4 linked regions of the Oryctolagus cuniculus genome follow. The protein of the gene in region 2 purifies or fractionates together with the protein of the main gene of each other region. This does not show direct contact. Links are inferred from orthologs where the notes say so. Each region holds a gene or a part of one and is shown on either strand. Other genes may lie near its edges.

Region 1 (4,235 bases), on a different chromosome or scaffold from region 2:
GCACAGAGGTTTTTGCAACAGTCGGAGGAAGGATACATTAGTAAGACTGGCAATGGCAATGAAGGAATGGACATTCCAGCAAGTCTTGGTTCATCTTCTACTGCTTTCCCTTTGCCCCTTGTACTTCTCCCACAAGAAAAGAAAGGAGAAAAAAAAGTTACATCCTGGGCATTAAAATGAAAAGACGCTAATGAAGCCCTGAGACCATTCAGCATGAAATCTGAATTCCACTCACATCTAAGCCTTTCTTCTTAATCCAGGCTCGAAGCCCATCCACGTTCCAGGAGCAGATCTTCAGTGTGGCAGCTTTGCCGCTAGGTGAGGTTTTCTGGTCTGGGGGGTCCTCATACAGCACGGGGCCCTCTCCTGCTGACTCTTTTTCATTTTTCTTCGCTGCCGTCTTAGCCTTCTTGGTCTCTGGCTCTATAACGAGAATAATACGTAGGGATAAGAGCTGGAGGTTTCCAACATCGAGTCAGAGTCCAAGGCAAACGCACCGCGACCCTGCGGTTAGCGCGACTTCCTCTCCTGCGCCCGCTATGAGTTGGCCCACAGCTAACATTTCGCCAAGGGACTCAGAAGCAGCCCCCCCAACCCCGCCCACCGCGACTGGCAGGGAGAGGCCGCTTCACTCTCACCCGTCTTGGGCTCCTCCCCGTCTTCTGCCGCGGCCCCCTTCTTCCCTCGCTTTGGCATGCCTGTAACGATCGCCCTTCGGCACCCGAACCACGTCGACCACCGAAGCAGTATCTTCACCGCGATGCCTAAGGATGCAAAGATATACGACTCAGCCGGCGAAGGCTGGGGAGAAAACTCCTGCCCTGGACGGCCCCCGCACTAAGTCCCGCCTTTCAAACCACATAATCTCTGAATCCTGTCCCCGCCTCGGTGCATCAGGCCTTCGGCGCTTCACTCCCCAACTAGATCTATCCATAGAGCGTTTGAATCACCGCGAGATCCGCTCTACGGCCAACGGGAGACCTTTACTAAAGGTCCCGTGAGGCAGCTAGCGGAGGCCCCTCCAACAAGCAAAAACGCAGCGCTGCACCTGACCTGCTCCTGCCCCGCTCCTGCCCCAGCCTGGCTCCTTACCCGAGCACAAAGAAGGGAGCACGCTGGACGCCCACGTGGGTAACTGGCGTGGTCACGTGACCCGAGGCCGCGCGTGATTGGGCCGTCTGCCACCACGTGACGGAGACTCTGACACGCCCCTCTCACTCCGCGGAGGGCTGAAGGTCCCAAGGCTCCGTTCTTGGGCTGTTCACGTTCGTGCCTGATGTACGGCTCCTTCTGCCGCCCTGACCGAAGGAGCCGGCGCCGTGCGAGGGGGCAGAAGCTCAGTGGCAGCGACTGGGCTGGGCCGCAGGAGAGAGGCGGGGGAGTGGACTAGGCAGGGCCGGCGCAGAGGCCGGCTCAGCGCTCCCGGCAGCTCCGGAGACAGGTTCCGGAAGGGGCCTTGTGGGTCGCCGGCGGGCGCAGGCGCAGGCGCGGGCACTGCCCCCGCGGCAGGTTTTGGTGTCCGGGCGCGGTTTACTGTTTACCAACAGCGTGCCGGTACCGCCCGCCGAGGGCTGTCGCGGCTCGGTGTTTGGCGCCTTGGCGTTCTCTCTCAGGCGGCGCCATGCCGACGGTGCTGGGGTTTGAAGGCAGCGCCAACAAGATTGGCGTGGGAGTGGTGCGGGATGGCAAGGTGCTGGCCAACCCGCGGCGGACCTATGTCACGCCTCCGGGCACAGGTGAGTCCTGGACTTAATTTGCGACGACCTTCCCCGCGCACATCACCTATTTCCCTGAACACCAGTGAATGGGGCCCGGGGAATTTTGTCCCATTTTACAGCTCGTTGAGGTTATGTGATGTTATTGTCAGAAGGCGGATGAGTGGAAGAGCCACAGGCGCTTGGACCTGAATCTTCTGGGGTTGTCGAGCTTTCATTGAATGCTTTTTGCGTACCAAGACCTCATAAACTTGTAGAAATCTACCCTGGAGTCTAATGTATAAACGAATTGTAACAGCGTGATGAGTGGTGTAATAGAGATGGACTCAAAATGTTGTAAAATGCGGAGGAGAGACGTGAAGATGGAAGGAATTAGGATTTAGGTACCGGATAGAATTGACTGGTATTGGGATACTCTTGACTTTTTTTTTTTTCACTTTTTAATGTTTGCTTTTTGCTTATTTTTATCTACTGGAAAGGCAGGGTGACAGCCAGCCAGAGAGAACCTCATCTACTGGTCCACTTCCCAAATGCCTGCAGTAGCCAGGGCTGAGTGAGGCAGAAGCCAGGAGCCAATAGCTCCATCCGTGTCTCCCATTTATGGGTTGCAGGGGCTCATACTCTTGGCCATCATCTGCTCCCTGCCAGGGTGCACATCAGCAGGAACTTGGATTGGAAGCCGAGTAGCTAGGCCTTGAGCCTGGGCACTCCCATGGGGAATGTGGGTGTCCCAAGTGCCAGAACACCCACTGTACTTTGTGACTCTTAAAATGGGAGTGGTGGTGCCTTAACATTGTGTCTTGGGGACTAAATGAAAGTACCAGACACTGAACAGCTTCTGTTCCGTATGGTTTATGAGCTATTGTATCTTGCCTACTCTCCCCTCAAACACCTGCACATATAGGAGGGGGCAAATGATTTCCATGTACCAGAGCAGCCTCTGAACAAGTAATGTGACGGGTTGTACGTATTAGAAGTGCTTGTATATCTATGTTTAAGTCTTTCCTATTCTAAGCACTTGGGTACTGGGAGTACAAGAATAAATCAAATAGCCAATGTTTTCAGGTAATTGTAGTTAAACTGTGGAAACCACTGATAATTTTAATGCTATGCTGTAATTGTTAGGTGTAAGATACAGTGATGTGATTATGTGTAGGATTCTGCATGAGGTAGGTATCGGTTGAGTTTGTTTTTTTTTTCAAAGATTTTTTTTTTTTAATTTTAGAGTTATAGGCAGAGAGAGAGAGAGAGAGAGAGAGAGAGGTGTCTCCCATCTGCTGGCTCATTTCCCAAATGGCCACAATGACCAGAGCTGGACCAATCTGAAGGCAGGAGTCAGGAGCTTCTTTTGGGTCTCCCACATGGGTTCAGGGGCCCAAGCATTTGGGCCATCTTCTACTGCTTTCATCAGCAGGGAGCTGGATGGGAAGTGGTGCAGCGGGGACTCGAACTGGTGCCCATATGGGATGCCGGCACTGCAGGTGGACGCTTAACCTACTACGCCACAGTGCCGGCCCCTCACTTGGGTCTTAATGCTGAGTAGGAATTGAGTAGGAAGAAAGGCACTTCTGATACCTGAACAGCTTACGTAGAGGTTAGAATGTGTCTGAAAACCTGGAAGACAGGGTGCTTGAGGAGAATGGAAGGAGTCTTCCTGCATTACTGAAACTCAGGAGGCTTCACTGTCATAGTTTTAAAATTCTACTTGTCTTTGCTGCAGAAAACCCTTATGACCCCTGGCCTGTTCCCATTTTCTAGGATTCCTTCCAGGTGACACTGCCAGGCACCACCGAGCTGTTATCCTAGATCTGCTGCAGGAGGCGCTGAGCGAGGCTGGATTAACCTCCCAGGATATTGACTGCATTGCCTACACCAAGGGTATGACTGGGGGAGGGGTCAGTGTTGGAGGAATGTGGAGCCTGGGTAGGTCAAAATGTCCTCTGCCTTGCCTCTGTCACCACCACAAGCCCTCTCCCGCTTTGACATTCCCTAGTTCCTCACCTGTTTTTTTCCAATCCAGCATTCTGACTACCATTTCTGTCCCCTAGGTCCTGGCATGGGTGCTCCACTAGTTTCTGTGGCTGTCGTGGCTCGTACCGTGGCCCAGCTGTGGAATAAGCCATTGCTAGGCGTGAACCACTGTATAGGCCACATTGAGATGGGCCGTCTCATCACTGGAGCCACCAGCCCAACTGTGCTGTATGTCAGCGGGGGAAACACACAGGTATTTTGAGTACTCCACCTATTTCATCCTACTTTGTGGGCAGTGAACCAGTGACTTCTGTGGCTTACCTGAGTTGTGGGGACTGCCTGTGAAACAGAACTGAACCTAGCTCTTCACCAGAAAACTCACAACAGAGTTCGTAATAGCAGATTTCGACAGGTTATTAAAACTTTAGGTGACTTTTATATATTTGATTATACAAAAAAGATTAGGAATTTCCAATTTAGAAAACAATGATAAGGATTTAAGCTTATATTATTTTGAAGCTTTTTTTTCTGTACATTTTAGCAATTAAA
Region 2 (4,166 bases):
CTCTATCCCACGAGTCTGAAGACGAGCTCATCACCAACGGTCTGATGTGTCACCAGCAGCACCGACAGCGAACGTTCTGCTCACCCAGCCACAGGCTGCTTTCGATGCTATGTCTACGCACCTGAGGCTTACACACCAAAGCTGAAAGGCAGGCCTGCCCTGGATTGACTTTCTCGTGAATCATTCACTCAAGAGACAGACAGATGAAGGCAGAGAGTGCACTCCCCTGCACTGGTTCACTTCTCATACGCCCACGATGGCCGGGGTTAGGCAGGGACCAGAGCCCGGAAGGCAATCCAGGTCTCCCACAGGGATGGCAGGGGCCGGTTACTCGAGCCATCACTGCAGCCTCCTAGGATCAGCGCTGGTGGGAAGCCGGTCGCGCCACACCCAGGCACCCCGAGACAGGACACAGGGGTCTCAACCGCTAAGCTGATGCCCAGTCCTGGATTGACTGCAAACACCCAGTTCTGCCTGGAGCACCTCACGCAAGCTCTTAGGAATACTCACTGCAGATGGCGACACTCAACAGGCATGACCACACACACGGCTTCAAAACAGCTCGATACATTTATTGAGGCCTAGTCTCACGTTTGTAGAGTCCAGATTTACCCTGAAGATCGGCCTAGCCTTGTGGAGCCGCCTCGCGTCCTACCCGACCATCGACCGCTTTCTGCCCCGCAGCCGGACTTCGTCCAGCTTTCGGAGCACTGGCCTGGCCTTCCTGGAGGCGCTGGCGTAGCTCTTCAGGAAGGCCTCGAACACGGGCTCGGTGTTCGGGTGGGTGCTGAGGAAGGCCTTCTCCAGGACGTACAGGTCCACGCCCTTATCTTCCGGAAGCCCCGAGACGAAGCTCAGCCCAAAGTCGATGAGCACGATGCTCAGCTGCTCCGCCGGGGGCTTCAGGAGCATGTTGGAGGTCGTGAGGTCCCCATGGATGAGGTCTTCGTCGTGCATCCGAGCCAGCACCTGCCCGATCGCCTTGGCCAAGCCACAGAGGCTCTGGGGGGTTCCTTCAGAGTCCAGGGTGGACTGGATATAATCCCGCACCGTGACTGAGCCTTCGATTTCCTCCATGTACAAGCAGTTGGAAGCATAGTCCACGAAAAAGACCACTGGGGCACAGATGCCTGGAATCAAGACGCGGGGGGTTACTGGGTTGCATTCTTGGTTTTTTCCCTTAGTCAAGGCTTCATTTTCAAAGTTAAGTGAGTCTTCCAGTCTTTACTCACTTCAGGAAACAGCTTTAGGAAACGGCACAACTCGACTCTGGAACATTCTCGGGCTCAGGCCTGAGACCATTAAACAGCCCGGGGTAGGGGGGCCAAAGCTTCCTCCTTCCCCACACTACAACTTGGGGCTGAACCCTAGTTCTCACACCAACCTGGGAGCCAGCAGGGGAGGCCCGGCCCAGACAGAAGTTTCTGGACACAACGGAGCCCGGCAGAGTGGCCACGGGGAGGCTCATTTCGCAGTCTGTAAGGGTGGAGTCCGATCCCTGCGCTTAGCAGCGGTGCGACCTCGGTTTATGCTACTCATGGGGTCGCCACCCTCAGTGCGCACAGTCAAGGAGGCCACGTTCTAGAAACGGAGACCTCTCCCGGGGCTACAGCCCACGATCCCCGCTGCACGGCGCCTGCAGCGCAGAGAGGGGTGAACACAGACGCCCGCAGCTTCCGGAACCGCAGAAACGCCCGGGACTTGTCCGCCTGCTCTCCCCCAGCTTCCCCGCGCCTCCCAGCCCCCGACATGGCCCTGGTGTGCAGGAGGTCGGGAGGATGTGACCCGGGAAAGCTGCTGCCGCTCTCCCAGCCCCAGGTTCTCGGCTGAGGTCGGAGTTCCCGGCGGCGGGGCACAGGGGTGCTTTCATGAAAAAAATGAACGAATGAAGTCTAACACGTGCCAGGCTGACATTCAAACACAGCCGGCGACCGCTCACAGCGCCCCCGGAGGCGGGCTCCCCAGCACCGCTGCCGCCTTGCAGGCAAGGACGCCGAGGCTGCGCGAGACGCGAGCCCAGAGAGCCCGGCTGCTGTGACGGAAACCCTGACACCGCACGCGGGAAAACCCAAGGCCAAGGCGGCAAAGCAACCGTGCACCACCGAGCAACAGTCAGGGCCCAAACGCGCCAGCAACTCGCCCGGAGCGCATCGAGACCGGGCGCGAGGACGACGCGTCCCGACCGGGGGTCCGGGCGGCAGGCGCCAGTGCACCCCCAGGCCCCGGCCGCGCCGCCTCACCTGCGCGGCGGCAGCGGAGCAGCGCCCGCGCCTCCTGCACCGTCCGCCGCCGGCCGAGCCGCGCCTCCAGCGTCGGGTGCCGGTAGCCCTTGGGGAAGCGGTGCTTCACCACGGCCGCCCGGCCCTGGAAGCGGCCGCGGAACACGCGCGCCTCGGCGCCCTGCTTCACCAGCTGCAGGCCGCTCAGGAAGCGGCTGCTCCGCTCCAGGGCCGCGGCCAACGCCTCCGCCGCGGGCTCTTCGTGATTCTCTGTGGCACCAGCGTCGGGGGCCGCCATGGCAGCGCTTCCGCCCTCCCCGGAAATGCCGGCGACGCTTCCGCTCGCTCCGAAAATCCTCCGGGCTCTTCCGCCTCTCTAGCGGCTCCCCCTGCAACACTTCCGCCCTGGGAAAATGGTTCCGCCTCCCAACTTTCGGCTCCTGTCAGAGCCTTTGGTGCCCGCAGCGAACGGCTCTGTGACTCCGCCCCCAGCCCTTCGGCTATCTCCGTAAACGCTCGGCAACTCTCGGGAAATCGTTCCTCACCACTGCTCGGCACTTTCCGGAAGCCCTCGGTGACGCTGGCGAGCTGCCGGGGGCGGGGGTGCTCGGCTCCCAGTTCTTCGGCTCTTTCCGGAAAACTTCGGCTACTTTCGATTAAAACGATTTTTGGGGTGCTCTTTGCCCTTCTCAGGAGTTCCTCAGGATCCTGGAAAGCTTTGCGGCCAGTAGAGCCTTTTCGGAACTCACAAGGCTCACTGCAGTCAGAGCGGGTGCTGGGATAGCAACCACCGTTTCTCTCAGCGCCTTGGGGAATAATAAGGTTAAACGGTGGAAAACCCTCCTTACAGAAAACAGACTCAGGACTATGGTGATGGCCAGATCACTGGGGCCGAGAGGGGACAGAACCTAACTGTGTTGCAGAAATTGATGACTTTATCACAAGGCTGATAGGAGCAGTAACAGATTCTTGCTATAAAGAATTTTGCACTCAGTCATCAAAGATTGCTATACTCCTCACCAGGCCCCACAGAACTTTATATGTATCATGCCTTTCTAGATGCATTTTTAAAAGATTCGTGTATTTATTTATTTGAAATAGTTACAGAGAGAAAGGAGGAGACAGAGAGGTCTTCCACCTGCTGGTTCACTCCTCAAAAGACCATAATGGCCAGGGTTGGGCCAGGCCAAAGCCAAGAGCCAGGAGCTTCTTCCTGGTCTCCCACAGGGTGCAGGGGCCTGAAGCCTCGAGCCACCCTCTGCTGCTTTCCCGGGCCATTAGGAGGGAGCTGGATCAGAAGTGGAGCAGCAGGGACTCTAACCGGCACGCACGTGGGATGGCGGGTCACAGGCGGCAGCTTTACCTGCTACCCCACAGGGCCAGCCCCTCCACATGTTTTTATACAATGTGCATGCACACACATATCATTGTGAGGCTTCTCCCCCAACAGAAATGAGAATATGATGCACATTATTTTGCTACTTGCTTTTTTCCCCCTAAGCAGTTTGTCCCAGATAATCTTCCTTATCAGAATATCTAGAGCTGCCACATCCTTCTACAGGGTCAAACGGTTCCTTGTTGCTAAGTTTTAGTACATTTCTTATTGTCGTTTTACTTTCTCTTACGAAACGCTGCGATGAACAGGCTGATCCAGGCATCATTCATTGCAGCATGCACAAGTGTTTCTGGGGACGTCTGTCTACAAGTGATGTCACTGGGTGCAGGAGACAAGCTCTTTAAAATCCGATCCGTCAGCCAAACTGCCCTTCCAAAGGTCTGTGTCTTTTTAGAGTTCTATGCAAGTATATCCCATTTCCCTGCACCCTCATCCTCTCTGATTTTCCCAGGTTTTGAAAGGCCTAACCAGGTAGAGGAATGGGAGAGTGCTCGGGTTGCAGGCCCAAAGAATGAACAGGAGGCAAGGCTGGCTTGGACAAAGGCCAGCAG
Region 3 (3,311 bases), on a different chromosome or scaffold from region 2:
GGACTCAAACTGGTACTTATACGGGATGCCAGCAACGTAGGTGGCAGCTTAACCCACTGTCCCTCAACACCAGCCCCAACTTGCATTTTTTTTTATTTATTTTTATTTTTTGACAGGCAGAGTGGACAGTGAGAGAGAGAAACAGAGAGAAAGGTCTTCCTTTGCCGTTGGTTCACCCTCCAATGGCCGCCGCGGCCGGTGCACCATGCTGATCCGATGGCAGGAGCCAGGTGCTTCTCCTGGTCTCCCATGGGGTGCAGGGCCCAAGCACTTGGGCCATCCTCCACTGCACTCCCTGGCCACAGCAGAGAGCTGGCCTGGAAGAGGGGCAACCAGGACAGAATCCGGCGCCCCGACCGGGACTAGAACCCGGTGTGCCGGTGCCGCAAGGCTGAGGATTAGCCTAGTGAGCCGCGGCGCCGGCCCCCAACTTGCATTTCTTAAACATGTGAATCTCGTTTCTTCCACTGCAACTCCAGGACAATGGCAAGGATATTTGTATGTGAAAAGGATATGAAACTGGGAAGAGGTCAGTTTTATTTTCTGTGGTAGCAAACATTTAAGCACTGGTGAAAACAAACAGATCTTGAGCACCCAGAACCCAATGCAGGCAAGCCATTAGGCCCCATCCTGCTTCGGGCATGATCGCCCTAGGGAGACACATTTTCTAGGAGGCGAGCAAGGTAACAACTGGGCCCCTTTACCCAGTCCAGTCTTAGCGGGCAACGGGAGGCCCGAAGCGCTGCAGGGTGCGCACCACCAGGGAAAGCTGCTCAAGAAAGCTGATGATGGAAACTCGGAGGAGGCGAGGATCTTTAGCTGTCCAGCGGCTAAAAGGGAAGGAACAAGAAAATCAAGTCGGGGACAGTAGCTGCCCACATCCCTTGCTCTACCCCTCAGGCATCCAGTGCAGCAGATCCTGGAAGCCCCGGTATTACAGGGCCTCTCGGGCAGCGTCCCAGACCTGCTCCTTAGACTTCCCCCGGAGTGCCTCCAGGCCTCCCAGCCTACCTCTCAGTGGAGAATGGCCACATCCCCTGTTGCCTTCCCCTCACCGCCTCCCGCTCCCCCACTCCTGCCACCCCACCCCCGGCCCCCGGAAGCATTTACACCGCCAGGACGGTGCCGGTCACTGCGAGGTCCTTTCCAATCGCTTCTGGGTGAGGCTCAGCATCTGGAGCCAGGGACTCACAGGCGATTTCTGCCTCCAGACGGGTGGGAAAAGGCACACTGAGGGTACTGGTGGAGGTTTGGTAAAGGCACCATCGGAAGCGACTTTGCCCGAGTCTGTTTCCCTGGCTCTTCTGACGGCTTCCATGACCTCTCTCGGGCGCCCCCCACTGGCTAACGCTTTAATCCCACAGCCATCCGGGCGGCTCCGATTACCCTGCTCTTCTTTCTGTGCTACCGGTCCTCCCACTCGCCCTTCCCACCTTCTGTTCCAGGCTACCCTGCCCCCACCACGGGCAGCCTCCACCCCCTTCCCCCACTGTGCCCCTCCCGCAGGATACAAGGAGTGTGGTCGCATTCCCGGGCTTGCGGCTGCTGTCGCGGCGTCTCCGCCCGGAACGGCAGCGTGCGGTGCCTGCGCGACTTCTCGAGTTCCACGGGCTGCAGCTGCTTCTGTGTCGGTACCATCGGGAAAGTCGCGGCCACGCCGTCCACGCTGGGTGTGAGCGCCGCCCGCCACGCCGCCTGCGCCTGCGTCCGCAGCCTGCATGGCTGCCGCTGCCCCGCCCTCAACCCCACCCTCAGGGCGCTGCGCCACGGCCCGCCATCTCCAGGAGCTTCGTAGATTGCCCGCCCTCCTGAAGCTCCGCCCCTCGCGCACGACCACGTCCACGCGCGCCTGCGCAAACACACCTTTGACGAGGCTGTTGGGACGCCTCGTGAGTTCCCGCGATAGTGGCCCAACGTGGGGGCTCTTGGAGACCCTGGCAGCTTCAGAAACACTGCATTCGTGATTCGATGCTAGTGCGCTAGCCAGAACATACCTCCAGTGAAGCAGGCAGATGCGTGGTCGGTTCCCGACAACACAGCGCTGCTGGTACCCACAGGCCCTGGAGAAACTGAGCTGCAATATATATTTTTTTTAAGATTTATTTATTTTGGGGCCGGCGCTGTGGCTCACTTGGTTAATCCTCCGCCTGCGGCGCCGGCATCCCATACGGGCGCTGGGTTCTAGTCCCGGTTGCTCCTCTTCTCTCCAGCTCTCTGCTGTGGCCGGGAGTGCAGTGGAGGATGGCCCAAGTGCTTGGGTGCCTGCACCCGCATGGGAGACCAGGAGAGGCACCTGGCTCCTGGCTTCGGATCGGCGCAGCGCCAGCCGTAGCGGCCATTTGGGGAGACCTTCTCTCTGTCTCTTTCTCTCACTGTCTAACCCTATCTTTCAAATAAATAAATTTTAAATAGATTTATTTGAAAGAGAAAGAGGTCTTCCATCCACTGGTTCACCAGTTGCCCGCAACTGCCAGAGCTGCGCCAATCCAAAGTCAGGAGCTTCTTCAGGGTGTCCCACACAGGTGCAGGGGCCCAAGGACCGGGGCCATCTTCTACTGCTTTCCCAGGCCACAGCAGAGAGCTGGATTGGAAGAGGAGCAACCATTTCATAGCGTTGCTGGCTACAGCCTTACCTGGTAAACTACAACGCCACCTTGGCTCTAGATTTTTTTTCCGTCGCTGAAGTTTGCCAAATGTATCGTAGTTCCATTGTATCAGTTCGTTCTGTTAGGTAACAAGATCGATCTCAGACTGTGTGTGAGGCTGTTAGGTAGCAAGGGAGAGATTAGCTGTGTGTGTGAAGAGGGCCTAAGGAAAACAAAGCCCTGGTGGAAAGCAATGTAGCAGCCTGGGACGTGCACTTGGGCAGCAGTCCTGTATTTTTTTACACGACAAAGCCCTGTCCACCCCCGTCACTTTATTGGTGGCCCCAGCCTTGCCTCCCAAAAAGGCACCCCAGGAGAACCCTCTGTCTGGCGCTAAGCAGGCTGCTCAGTCTGATAACTGGGTAATAAAACTTTGGGAGGGATTTCACCCATTTCACACCCAGCAAAGCCCTTGCGGGGAAGAGAAACAGGGAAGAACTGGACCCCAGTCCCTCAGAAGGCCCGGTCTCAGTGCGGACTGGGCTCTCAGCTCAGCTCTTGGTTCTTTGGCGCTTGGCCCATCAGGAAAGTTCTAGCCGCTGAACCTTGCCCTCCCCATTCTGAATGACTGGACACTCGCTCAGGTGCCCAGTTCCGACACGTGCCCTGCCTAGTGTTACGCCTTGCTGACGACTCTCTCACATCTGACTTCTCTTTTGCGTGAAG
Region 4 (4,280 bases), on a different chromosome or scaffold from region 2:
CGTCCAAGCTGCAGACTGCGAGCTAGCACGGAGTCTGACAGAATGCAGCCGTCGTTTAGGTCATTCGGTAAACGTTTAGGAAAGAAACAAAGCTGTGTCACCGCGTCTAAGCTCTTAGATCAGCAGCAGTTTTCAAGTTCTCGCGCTTACCAGGTTCTGTCGAATGTGACACTGTTCAAAAATACGCATGTCCTCTTGTCGGGGTTCTGTGGTCGTAAACGAGCCCACACGCAATTGTTCTTTCCGTGGATATATGATAGGAATGAAATTGTCGACTTGGGGCTCATCCGCTTCCCGGGCGCCCGTTCCGTCTCTCCGCAGACGGCTGGCGATCTTCGGCTGCAGAGCAGACCCTGGTAACTCTCACCGAAGCCGGCCGCGGCGGTTACGTTTCGTCCACTCCTTGCACAAACTGTCCCGGTGAAGTGGGACCCCCGACCTCGTAAACCGGCAGCCCGGCACGGCCCCCTTTAAAGAGACAACATATAGTTATGAATACAGCGGTGTAAGAGAGTTGCCAAGGTGGAATAAATCATACCTCTTGGAATCAGTAGGATTTCCACGCTAAGGAGCTTTGGAAAAGGAAACCAGAAACGGGGCAAAATGCGTGCTCTTAGTGATGCAGATACGAAACGTTCTGTTTTATTCTCCTCCTCATCCTCCGCTGAGGCCGTCAGGGAAAGGGTGAAGGGTGGACAGGATTCTGAGAGGAGGAGTGGAAAGGTATTTTAGCCATAACCAAAGGCACTAAAGGAACCCGCAGCACTCATGCCCCAGGCTGTGGACGTTAGGTATCACAAAATCCGTTCTTAATTATGTAATGGAAGTGGAGCCGGTGTTGTGGCACAGTGGTTTTAGCCGCCGATTTGCGTCCTGGCTGTTCCCAGCTTTGACCTGACCCAGCCCTGGCCTAAGCCACCATTTGGGGAGTGAGCCAGCGGATGGAAGAGCTCCCTCTGTGTGTGTGTCTCTCCCTCTCTCTGCAACTCTGCCTTTGAAATAAATCTTTTCTTAAAAAATTACGTATGTAAGTGAGTTGACCAAGGTTACAGTTAGGTAACCTTAGGTAACTGGCAGCAGAACTAAAACTGGAGTCAAAGGTTTAGGATAATAAATTCGTACTTTATTGGAAATAGTGCCATGAAGATTGAAGGATTTTGAGTTGTTTGCTATGCATAGTGACAAGCAGCTGATGTGCCTGCAAGGTGGTTTCCCACGCAGTGATTTTGTTCTTAAGTTATTGCACAAGCACGTTGTCTCCATGTTCCTCCTCTGCATTTGCATGTCGGGTGCAGATCCCACTGCACATAGGCCGGGGCACTCTTGGTTTTGCTCAAAGCCACCTCGCTGATCATGGGCGCCTCAGACCCCTCCTGGTCCGGGCCCGGCAGTGCCTGCACCGCCTTCCGCTGGGAATTGGCCCTTCGCGGCCGCCGTCGCCCGGCGAGCTCCCATCCAATCAGAGCTCCGCGGGAAGGGGCGGAACCCGGAGGCGCGCGGCGCGCGGCTGGCTGTGCCTGCTGCTGTTGCTTTCAGCATGGAGGAGCTGTATGCCAAGTTTGTGTCTGAGAAAATCAGCAAAACCCGCTGGCGGCCGGTGCCTCCGGGGAGCCTGCAGACCGCCGAGACCTTTGCCACGGGCTCTTGGGACAATGAGGTACCCTGGCTCCGGGGCGGGACCCCGGGGCTCCGTCCTCTCCCACGCCCAGGTGCCCTGGAGCGCGCGACTTTCCATCCTCCCCGGCCCCGGGTCCGGGGGCTCGGCTGCAGCCAGCGTGGGTGTGCCCGAGCCCCCGTCTTCTTGTTTCACATTCTGCCCATGCCGTGTGAGATGCTTTGGAGCCCAGGTTGCCTTAAGGCGATACGCATTGGGTTTACTTTCCAGAGTTGACGGTTCTGTCATCTCAAGATGAAGCCGTTTGCTTTACAGGAGAATCACGTTTCACTGTGGTCTATCGGAGATTTCGGAAACCCGGACTCTGATGGAAGCCTGGAAGGAGACCATCGACTGTTGTGCGATATCAAACACCATGGTGACGTCATGGACTTACAGGTAAACGCGTCCAGTGCCCAGAGGCTCGCTTCTAAAGAAAGCCAGAGCAGTGCATTTAGAGTGCAGAGACCTGAGAGCTCTCCTGGCCTCACCCCTAGTTTACAGGAAAGCGAGTTCTCCATAGGTTAGGATTTACCCAACGTAGACTGATCACTTAGTGGCACAACCTCCCAGCTGCAAGCGATTTTTTTATTTTATTATTATTATTTTTTTTTTGACAGGCAAAGTTAGTGAGAGAGACAGGTCTTCCTTCCGTTGGTTCACCCCTCAAATGGCCACCTCGGACGGCGCTGCACCGATCCGAAGCCAGGAGCCAGGTGCCTCCTCCTGGTCTCCCATGCGGGTGCAGGGCCCAAGCACTTGGGCCATCCTCCACTGCCTTTCCGGGCCACAGCAGAGAGCTGGACTGCAAGAGGAGCAACCGGGACAGAATCCGGCGCCCCAGCCGGGACTAGAACCCGGTGTGCCGGCGCCGCAGGCGGAGGATTAGCCTATTGAGCTGCGGTGCCGGCCTGCAAGTGATATTTTTGGAGTTTTACATAAGACCGTTTAATTCTAATTACATGTCTGTGAGTCAGTATTGTTATTTCTATTTTGCCCGTGAGAATGCTAAGAATATTATCTTTCGAGCACACACTGCTAAGGATCTCAAAGTTCATGGAAAATGCATATTATAGATAAACTATGCATGGGCTTTTAAAAATTTTGCACTAGAATGCATTATCTTTTAATTTCATTTTCCATAAACTTCTTGAATTATCCTCATTTGTGACAAATACTGTGCAGGGTAGGTCTTTTAAATTTTTTGATTTCTCATAACCCACCCTGAGTAGGATTAGTACTCCCTGTTTAAAAATACAGATTTTTAAAAATTTACTTATTTGAGAGGTAGAGTTAGAGACAGAGAGAAAGTTCTCGATCTGCTGGTTCACTCCCCAAATGGCTGCAATGGCCATAACTGGGCTGATCTGAAGCCAGGAGCTTCTTCCCAGTCTCCCATGCGGGTGCAGGGGTCCAAGGACTTGGGCCATCCTCTACTGCTTTCTCAGACCATAGCAGAGGGCCGGGTCAGAAGAGGAGCAGCCAGGATGGAAACCAGGGTGCGTGTGAGATGTTGGCCCTGCAGGCGGAAGCTTAGCCTATTGTACCACAGCAGTGGCCTCAGGGAAATTTCTTTTTTAATGTATTTGTTAGAGCTCCCATCAACTGGCTCATTCACCAAAGCCTGCGTCAATCAGGAGCCAAGAGCCAGGAACTCAGTCCAGGTCTCCCATGTGGGTAGCATGGACCCAATTACTTGAGTCATTACCATTGCTTTGCAGGACCTGCGTTAACAGGAAGCTGAAATAAGGAGCCAGAACTGGGTGTTGAACACAGGCATTCTGAACTTGGGCATCTCAACCCAACATCATAGCAAGCCAAATGCCCACCACATTCCAAGGCTTAGAGAATTTAACTTGGCCAACCATTTATTCCTCATGAAAATACCTTTATTTGTATAGCAATGTTAACTTTTAGATCTAACAAATGTTATTTGGGTAGCACTTACAGGCTTTTTACCTTTTACAGTTACGTAATTTGCTATAAATTCAGTTAAACAACGGGTTTCCTCCCTACTAGTTTTTCTGAATCTATAATAAGCAGGAATTTTTCTGTTTAGTTTTTTGACCAGGAAAGAATTGTAGCTGCTTCATCAACAGGATGTGTAACAATTTTCCTTCACCATCCAAATAACCAGGTAAAGAACTTTGGTTTGAAAAGTGAATTTGTATTTTAGTTATTTTTAGAAAGGTGTAAGGAAAACCGTATTTAATAGTTTTAAAGCCTTACGATATGAAGGGGGGGAAAATATCATTACTTTTTGCGAATGTAATTCTAGAACCATGTTTTTGTGAGTTGTTTGTTTGTTTGTTTGTTTGTTTTTGAAAGAGAATTACAGAGAAAGGAGGGGAAAGACAGAAACAGAAAGGTCTTCCTTCCACTGGTTCATTTCTCAGTGGCTGCATCAGCCAGGGGTGGGCCAGACCAAAGCCAGAAGTCAGGAGTTTCTTCCAGGTCTCCTGCTTGGGTGCAGGGGCTCAAGCACTTGGGCCATCCTCTACTGCTTTCCCAGGCCATTAGCAGGGAGCTAAATGGGAAGTGAAGCAGCCAGGACTTGAACCATTGCCCATATGAGATGCCGGCATTGTAGGTGGTGGCTTTACCTGCTACGCCACAGCGCCAGCCC

The links.
Region 1: the proteins of TP53RK (region 2) and OSGEP purify together in Homo sapiens (affinity purification with mass spectrometry; 5 studies listed by BioGRID and IntAct, counting the BioPlex papers as one, with this or other methods). This does not show direct contact. The link is inferred for Oryctolagus cuniculus from reciprocal best matches to the Homo sapiens genes TP53RK and OSGEP.
Region 3: the proteins of TP53RK (region 2) and LAGE3 purify together in Homo sapiens (affinity purification with mass spectrometry; 5 studies listed by BioGRID and IntAct, with this or other methods). This does not show direct contact. The link is inferred for Oryctolagus cuniculus from reciprocal best matches to the Homo sapiens genes TP53RK and LAGE3.
Region 4: the proteins of TP53RK (region 2) and NUP43 purify together in Homo sapiens (affinity purification with mass spectrometry; 3 studies listed by BioGRID and IntAct, counting the BioPlex papers as one, with this or other methods). This does not show direct contact. The link is inferred for Oryctolagus cuniculus from reciprocal best matches to the Homo sapiens genes TP53RK and NUP43.

What each region holds. Positions count from the first base shown.
Region 1 is NC_091443.1:54,296,063-54,300,297, forward strand, and holds the start of OSGEP (tRNA N6-adenosine threonylcarbamoyltransferase), read left to right. Parts: upstream 1-1,421; 5' UTR 1,422-1,621; coding exon 1,622-1,736; intron 1,737-3,473; coding exon 3,474-3,593; intron 3,594-3,763; coding exon 3,764-3,939; intron 3,940-4,235. Other genes in the region: DNA repair nuclease/redox regulator APEX1, read right to left, coding at 236-423, 639-696. UniProt on the Homo sapiens protein: Component of the EKC/KEOPS complex that is required for the formation of a threonylcarbamoyl group on adenosine at position 37 (t(6)A37) in tRNAs that read codons beginning with adenine.
Region 2 is NC_091442.1:12,878,590-12,882,755, reverse strand, and holds TP53RK (EKC/KEOPS complex subunit TP53RK), read right to left. Parts: upstream 2,570-4,166; 5' UTR 2,518-2,569; coding exon 2,241-2,517; intron 1,131-2,240; coding exon 652-1,130; 3' UTR 552-651; downstream 1-551.
Region 3 is NC_091453.1:132,705,597-132,708,907, forward strand, and holds LAGE3 (EKC/KEOPS complex subunit LAGE3), read right to left. Parts: upstream 1,808-3,311; 5' UTR 1,721-1,807; coding exon 1,512-1,720; intron 1,240-1,511; coding exon 1,111-1,239; intron 831-1,110; coding exon 716-830; 3' UTR 515-715; downstream 1-514. UniProt on the Homo sapiens protein: Component of the EKC/KEOPS complex that is required for the formation of a threonylcarbamoyl group on adenosine at position 37 (t(6)A37) in tRNAs that read codons beginning with adenine.
Region 4 is NC_091436.1:18,268,044-18,272,323, forward strand, and holds the start of NUP43 (nucleoporin Nup43), read left to right. Parts: upstream 1-1,466; 5' UTR 1,467-1,537; coding exon 1,538-1,657; intron 1,658-1,930; coding exon 1,931-2,053; intron 2,054-3,713; coding exon 3,714-3,791; intron 3,792-4,280. UniProt on the Homo sapiens protein: Component of the Nup107-160 subcomplex of the nuclear pore complex (NPC). The Nup107-160 subcomplex is required for the assembly of a functional NPC.